Neurospora crassa OR74A: one gene and its partner. The protein of the gene in region 1 interacts with the protein of each later gene in a biochemical or structural test. Links are inferred from orthologs where the notes say so. Each region holds a gene or a part of one and is shown in the gene's direction. Other genes may lie near its edges. The genes, in order: NCU04238 and hH3v.

Region 1 (3,739 bases):
CCATGGTCAGTCAATTACCCAAGTAGTGCCATATTGGTATGACGACTTGCTCTTGATGGTGGCTACGGAGCCGGAAGCACTGGATTCCTTGCTGTTAGCAGTTGTACGGCTTCGGTAGAGCTTCAGAGGTACCGGTGTTACATACGCCAGGAGGATGTTCTTGATCTCCGGTTGCGCAAGTTCCGCAGCGAGGGTGGCTGATGAAGCGAGTTCTGCGGCCAAGAACTGGCGATCATGAATGTTGTCAATTGCTTGAAGCATCTTGGCAATCTGTAAGATCCTTGGTTGTGAGATATTCTGAATGTGTGTTGATTGGGCTGTCAAGACGGAGTGTTCTGTTCACTTGATATTAGAACAGGTGACCTACAACCACGGCAGCGGCGCCTGAAGGGCAAAGGTGAAATTATGGGATACTGATTTATAATCCTCAATCTTCATGCTGACTTGTCAAAGACATTGGCCAGATGCAGAGAACGAGGGCCACTGCATAGGATTACGACACTCACCAGAAACCACCAAAACCAGATATTATGGCCGGATTAATGGGACGGACCAACTCTCAAGATTGATGAATCGTGAAAACAGACTGGAACGCGCTAGCCAAAACGTTTGAAACCCGCCTAACGGCTTGAGATTGAGAGATGCTTTTGGCGCTTGGGAGAAAATTTGAAGTGACCAGGCTGAACAAGGCTGGAGAAGGGAGGAAATGAGTTGAGTTGAGGGGTCCGAGGGGTAGAGGTATCGAAGAAGGGAAGCAAGAGCGGGAGGACAAGAGTGCCTGCCAAAAGGTCCTACGTCATGACCCTAACCCTGGCTTCCTGTCCAACTTGAAAGACTGACCTTGGAGCAGAGAGAGCTTCCAGAACCAAAATCAGTTTTGGCAATGGAATCAGATGTTAGGGTCAATGGATCAGCTAATTTTGGTAATGACTCAGAGATTTCATGAACAGCTTCAGAGAGCATAATGAAAGGGAAGCTCTCGCCATCGATCACGATTGTCGTCTGCTGTTGGTCTGCCGTTTGCTCCCCCGCCCCACATTTCCAGTAAGTCAAGGGTTGAAAAGTGCTGAAAACAGCCAATGAACAGCGGCATCCATTCACCTTATAGCACAATTAGCCAATCAGACGCGTCTTTGTGGGTGGACTGATCTCCATCGCGTCACAGCTTCTAAACTTCTGTGAAGCTCTCTGTAACTCTGTGACTCTTGTAACTCTTGCTTTGGATCTTCCTTCCAACTTCCATTTCACCAAATCGAGATTCCCAATCTCAGGATCGAGACATTGTCACACACACCAAACATCAATTATCCCAAACACACAAACCAATTCATCCCAATGTCAACACCCACCCCCGCCGCAAGCGGCACCGCGACCCCGATCGTCGAGCTAAACGCCGAGGAAGCTGCGCTATCCCTCAAGGTCTCCCTCGCCGATCTGTCCGCCCACGCCGCCGCCCAGTACGCGCAAAAGAACTACGATGAGGCCGCTGAGCTGTACGCACAAGCCGCCGAGATGCAGGCCGAGATGAACGGCGAGATGAACCCCGACAACGCCGAGATCCTCTTCCTCTACGGCCGCGCCCTGTTCAAGGTCGGCCAGAGCAAGAGCGACGTTCTTGGTGGCCGCGCGCCCGAGCCCAAACCCGAGAAGAAGGCGGCCAAGTCCAAGAAGCAAAAGAAGGCCGCCACAGAAGAGAAAGAAGCGGGTTCATCATCCTTGATCAAGGACGCGGTAGAGCAGGCGACTAAGGGCGCGCAAGCTTCCATCGCCGAGGCGGCCAGGGAGGTTGCCCACAAGGATGAGCCCAATCCGGAGAAGAAGCCCCTCTTCCACTTTGAGGGCGACGAGAACTTTGACGACTCGGATAAGGAGGAGGAGGACGACGACGAAGATGCCGAGGAGGGCGAGGAAGAAGACGAAGACGACGATGATCTCGCCGTGGCGTTCCAGGTCCTCGACCTTGCGCGTGTCCTCTTTGAGAAGAAGCTCGCGACACTAGAAGCCGAGCAAAAGACCCAAGAAGAAGGCAAGGGCAAGGAGAAGGAAAGCGACGAGGCTGCCACCACTACTGAGGCGTCGCCTCTGATCAAGCACATCAAGGAGCGCTTAGGCGATCTGCATGACCTCTTGGCCGAGATCTCGCTCGAGAACGAGAGGTAAGCATTTTGTCTCCCTCCTTGTCACCTCAAAACATAACCCAGGTACTAACCAACAATCCCTTTTCCCCCCTCCTCCCACAGATACCCAGCAGCCATAACCGATTCCCGCGCCTCCCTCAAATACAAACAACAGCTCTACACCCAAGACTCTGAAATCATTGCCGAAGCACACTTCAAGCTCTCCCTCGCTCTCGAATTCGCCTCCGTCACCAAGTCTTCCGACGACGACTCCGCCGTCCCCTCAGAAAAAGCCAGCGCGGGTGGTGCAGGCGTGGTAGACCAAGCCCTCCGCGACGAAGCCGCCGCCGAGCTCGAAGCCGCCATCGCCTCCACCAAGCTCAAGCTGCAGAACAAAGAAGTAGAGCTGGCCAGCACGCACAACCCCGAGGACAACGACGCGACGCGCCGGCAGATTGCCGACGTGAAGGAGGTGATTTCGGATATGGAGCAGAGGCTGGTGGATCTGAGGAAGCCGCCTATTGATATCAATGAGGCGTTGGGAATCGCTGCGCCTGTCTCTGGAACTAAGGGCGAGAGTTCGTTGAAGGTCGCTGAGGAGGTCAAGGAGAAGGCGAATGACTTGACGGGGTTGGTCAAGAAGAAGAGAAAGGCTGAGAGTGAGGCTGCGCCGGCCGAGGAGGGTGCTCCAGAGGCCAAGAAGGTGAAGGAAGAGTGAATGAGTCAAGATGGGTCAGAGGGTGTTGTTCTAGGTACGAGTAATTGTATGGCCATGGAATTGCATGGACTTTGGGAAAATTGGGCAAATGGAGTTCATGTAGGAGTTCAGTCACTCAGTCAGGATCAGGCTTGTAATGTTCACTTCTTTCTTCTCTTTTCAAACGCGCGCGCTTCTTGAAGCATCAAATAATCATACTCATCCTCCGTCATCTCACTCTCCCTCCGCCGGTGAATAACAGGCGAACCGCTATGGCACTCGGAAAACGCTCTGCCTATTTTTTCTGGGATCGACAACGTCGATATCGAACACTTTTCTCCAAACTAAACCATGTGTCAGAAGACAACAGTTCTTGTGGCGCGCCCCCAAGATACAAGGTATCACCAACACCTATTCCCCACCAGGACAAAGGGGAGTTACATGTGCGTAATTTAGGGTATCATGGACCATTTGTTGACCAAAGCCTTGTATGTAAGTGGATTCCACTTGCGCAGTTCACGAAGTACATCCGCCACAGGGTACATCATATTGTTAGACAATGGACCTGGAAATCAAACAAGAAACCATCATCAACGTGGCACATGTCAATAAATGTCCAGCTTGATAAAGACAGAAAGAAAGGGAGGATGAGAATGAACTTTTCGAAAGAATTTACTTTTGCCGTCCGTACCTAGGTAGCTATGCATTCTGTTTGGGGTACTATCTTCTCTAGCTAGCTAGCTAACTAGGAAACCGAAACAAATCCCTGATCTGATGTACCTAGTTTGTGCCTACCAGTGAGTGTCTCGTAGGTAGGTAGATAGATAGACATTTCTCGCATGATTGAAGGTACGTAGGTATAATCGAGAAGTTGGTTTAAAGACACATTTTTAAACACAAACGTGGCCTAGCCAGAAGGCAGAAT
Region 2 (3,916 bases), on another chromosome or scaffold:
TCAGCAAATTAGCATGACCTAACCTGTCATGCAGTTGTAGCCCGTGGTCCTGACTAGGATTGTACAACCGGCTTCCCATTCCCCAATTCACACGCCTTAGCGGACCTCGGGTGGCGCAACTTCGGGAGCGCCAGCGACTGCAATCTCGTTGTTGATACCATCCGTGGTCTCCTCGCGTGGCCGGCCCTCTTTGAGATCGTTGTTAGCATATTGTACATCGGAGCAGCAAAAGGAAGACTACATACCAAAGATACGACGCCACCACATGGGCGGGTCAAGGGGTCTTGAGCCGCCGTGAAGAGGAGGATACACGTCGGTGAAAAAGTACCAGATATGACCAATGACCATGCCCATCAACTCATCCTTGGGAATTGTGCCATGAAGGGTCAAGCTAAAAGCCATGAGTACCCACGGCAAGTAGGGTGCGCTAAACACCAGTAACCCAAGGAAGCTTAACCGGGTATCTGGGTTACGGCGAGACCATATGTAAACCAGCGTCGACGAAAGCGGATGGCCGAGAAATGGCATGGAAACGAGCGGCGACAGGATCAGGAGGAACACCATGGCGTACAGTAACAGCCATGAGAAGTGTGCTGGTGATCGGCCTGCCGATTCTTCGAGTAATCGCGAGTAGCGTTGCAGGAAGTAGACGTGAAAGAGAAGGTCGAGGGAGAAGGGCCCGAAGTAGAGGAAGGTGGTGAGTAGTCGCCAGTACTGAGCAGGAACACCAACAGCAGCCATGTCAGCGAACTATTTCTCTCGTAGAAATATGAACATGTACACGACGAACCTGTGACTTAACAAATACGGCGCGGTAGCTATAGAAGAGCTGGAAGGGAGTTATAAGCTCGCACTGGACCAAGCCACTCATGAGCATGGTTGCCGTCGTCCACCACCTTGTACAGATGGGCATCTCCCAGAACCACGTCTCGAGCGGGAAGCGGCCGGCATCGCCGCCACCACCACCGATCATCTGGTCCATGGTGAAATGTTCGTAGAGCAAACGACTGCGCAGTTGGTGTTGATTCGTTATCGGATGCTTGGCGGGTCCTGTCTGCCGGGCGATAGCGGCGTCGCTAACACGGATGGTATGAATTGGGTACCGTCTCCAATCTGGTGCAGGTTCAACGGCGACGATGCGTGGATTCGGATTGGAACGAGGAGCAATCTCTTGACGGAATACGTTTGACCTAGCTATGTGATAACGCCTACCCCGAGGGAAAAGAGCGTGGGAGGTTACGTTGATGAATGACTAGATGCCGCGGTGTTGATGATGTCGTGTCCTCTACAAGGTTTCCAATAGGTGCACAGTTTACAAGCTGGTTAGGTAGGTAGAGGTAGTAAGTAGTCTCAAGACGGGAAGCAAGGAAGACGGGGCCACGGGCTGGCGGGTTCGCTAGCGGAACTAGTGTATGGGGAAAGGCGGCTGCAGCTGCAAGTGTGGCAGTGGAAAGCGCTGAGGTGCCGTGGCCACTGGAAGCGCTGTGCGTCGAACTTTGACAGGGGCGAACGACATGCCCAGATATGATACTATCCGTAGTGCCTACCTATGCATTTATGCATACCTAGGTAGGAATGTAGTGTAAATGTATGGACGTTGACAAAGAACTGCTTGGGCCGGACCCCACATTTCCCCGCTGCCAGTGATCCAAACCCCGGGCTGCGTGCCCCTGCCCGCTGAGGTACCTCTAGCGGACTCCCATTCCTCGAGCTCCATTATGGAACCCCACAAAATTCACTGTGACCGAGCGGCGCGCCCAGTCGCGATCAAAAAGAAGCGTAGACCTACGCGTCAAGGTTCCCCATTCCAGCGAGTCGACGTTAGACCCAACCACTCCCCTTGTGTACAGACACCGTGGATAATAATTGTGTGAGTTGGCATTGCCGGCTTTGTTTAGTGGGCAACCTCGGATCTTCTTTGTCCTCTTTCTTGCCTTTCGATCCCGACAGCGACTTTGCTCATCCTTGCTGCCTTGCACCGCCGGCGCATCCACTCTAGAGCTCCCGACGTAAACAACAACACCGACCCAGCTCTCCGGTCTTTGGTCAATTGCGATCACCTAGCTTCAGCTTCCGCTACCTCCACTTCGCTACATTCAAAAACGACTTATCGATAAACAACGGCCTCAAGCTTCGCCATCCGAGTGCGTCACTAGCGAACCAACCACCTATCAATACATTCACCATCATCGATAAACAACAATGCCACCAAAGAAGGGAGGAGTAACAAAGTCAAAGGCGGTGTCTAAGAAAGCCGCGGCGGTGCCGACGCCCAAGGCCACTCCCCCGGGAAGAAGGAAGTCGCGCGCCAGCAGTGTTCAGCGTATGTCGTACCACTCCATCCACCTGGTCCCATCTACGGCGGTGCTTTCAGCGCAACATACCTAAGGCGCGCACGCGCGGAGAGTATCGATCCATTGGATACGACCCCAGTTAGGATCGCATGCAGCTAACATTGACAAATTCAGCCGGCGACCCCGTCCCCCAGGGCAAGAAGAGGCGTTACAGACCCGGCACGCTTGCGCTCAAGGAGATCCGCAACTACCAAAGGACGACAGATCTCTTGGTTGCCAAGCTTCCCTTTGCGCGATTGGTACGTATTGTTGTTTATGCATAGTACGCTTCTTCAAAAAAAAAAAACCTGATTCCGTGACTTACCCTTTCTTGTAACCGTAGGTCCGCGAAATAGCCATGCAATTCCGCCCCATGGACGAGGAAATGCGTTGGCAGTCGCAAGCCATCCTGGCCCTGCAAGAGGCCGCCGAGGCCTTTCTCGTCCACCTGTTCGAGGACACCAACCTGTGCGCCATCCACGCCAAGCGCGTCACCATCATGCAGAAGGACATCCAGCTGGCTCGCCGGATACGCGGCGTGTGGGGAGGTGCTGGGTGGGTATGAGTGTGATTAGCGCATGGCGGTGCGGCTGATGCAGCAACAGCAGCGGTAGCGGAAGCGGAAGCGCAGTCGAAAGTTGTTGCTACTACTACTACTACTTCTACTACTTATTACTACTGTAATGGACCATAAGGTTTAGCCTGGCATGGTCTGGCTATGTCAATTTGGTCCAAGTCAGTCAGATATCCTATCTCGAGCAGCGAGAAGGGAACGGGAGGTGTTAGGGAAGTGGAAGGGATGAAATTGCCAGGGTATGGGTATTCCCAAAAGTTGAAGGCGCGCGACGTTGGATCGTGTCTTCTTGCTCGGTTGGGTTGTAGGAAGGGAGAGGACACGGGATTGTGATATGTCCCGTGACTCCGCCTACAGAAAATCCCATCGCCAGTACGACGGCAGAAAGAACGATGAACGGACGGCAGCCAAGAATCTGCGCGCACTTGGATGACTTTAGCTGGCTCAAACAGCTTTAGCGTGGGGGCCAAAGAGAGAGGGGGGGGGGGGGGGGGGGGGAGGGGGTCAAACGCATAATCTGATTGGAAAGAAGGGCCATGAGTGCGAAAGGGAAATCTGGCCACTCTCTGGCATGCCAGGTCGGAGAAGTCTCGATGTGTTTTTTCGGGACGGTCAATGGTGGTCAAAACGCGACAATTCCAGTCAGTGGTTGGCGGAAAATGGCGCGGCTCGGCTCGGCATTGATCTCAAGTATGTGTATGGGTGTGCTGGTTTGATCTTTGGGTCGGCAGGCAGGCGGCGGCGGCGTTCAATGGCATCCCGTGGGGAAGATTATCATTTGATTGATTTTGCGCTCAAGGAAAAGCGGCGTTAAATATTGTGTTTTCAGAGACAAGAATGAGTATATATACGTTTTCGCATTATTGTCGAGTCTATTGGGACATGCGCCTGAACTAATATGGATCCGGAATTCGTCTCTTGGGAAAAGAGAATAAAGATAAAATATCATAAAGATAAAATATCATAAAGATAAAATATCATAAAGATAAAAGGAAAAAAAAAAAGGATA

What was found.
Region 2: the proteins of NCU04238 (region 1) and hH3v form a complex in vitro, tested with the Schizosaccharomyces pombe proteins (2 studies listed by BioGRID, with this or other methods). The link is inferred for Neurospora crassa OR74A from reciprocal best matches to the Schizosaccharomyces pombe genes sim3 and cnp1.

What each region holds. Positions count from the first base shown.
Region 1 is NC_026505.1:5,315,248-5,318,986, forward strand, and holds NCU04238 (histone H1-binding protein), read left to right. Parts: upstream 1-1,202; 5' UTR 1,203-1,335; coding exon 1,336-2,156; intron 2,157-2,240; coding exon 2,241-2,835; 3' UTR 2,836-3,198; downstream 3,199-3,739. Other genes in the region: NCU04237 (phosphopantothenoylcysteine decarboxylase), read right to left, coding at 51-79, 146-261. UniProt on the Schizosaccharomyces pombe protein: Histone H3 and H3-like CENP-A-specific chaperone. Promotes delivery and incorporation of CENP-A in centromeric chromatin, probably by escorting nascent CENP-A to CENP-A chromatin assembly factors.
Region 2 is NC_026503.1:2,782,483-2,786,398, reverse strand, and holds hH3v (histone H3), read left to right. Parts: upstream 1-1,693; 5' UTR 1,694-2,202; coding exon 2,203-2,323; intron 2,324-2,468; coding exon 2,469-2,593; intron 2,594-2,676; coding exon 2,677-2,898; 3' UTR 2,899-3,385; downstream 3,386-3,916. Other genes in the region: NCU00146 (ER-associated proteolytic system protein Der1), read right to left, coding at 97-188, 246-714, 791-982. UniProt on the Schizosaccharomyces pombe protein: Histone H3-like nucleosomal protein that is specifically found in centromeric nucleosomes. Replaces conventional H3 in the nucleosome core of centromeric chromatin that serves as an assembly site for the inner kinetochore.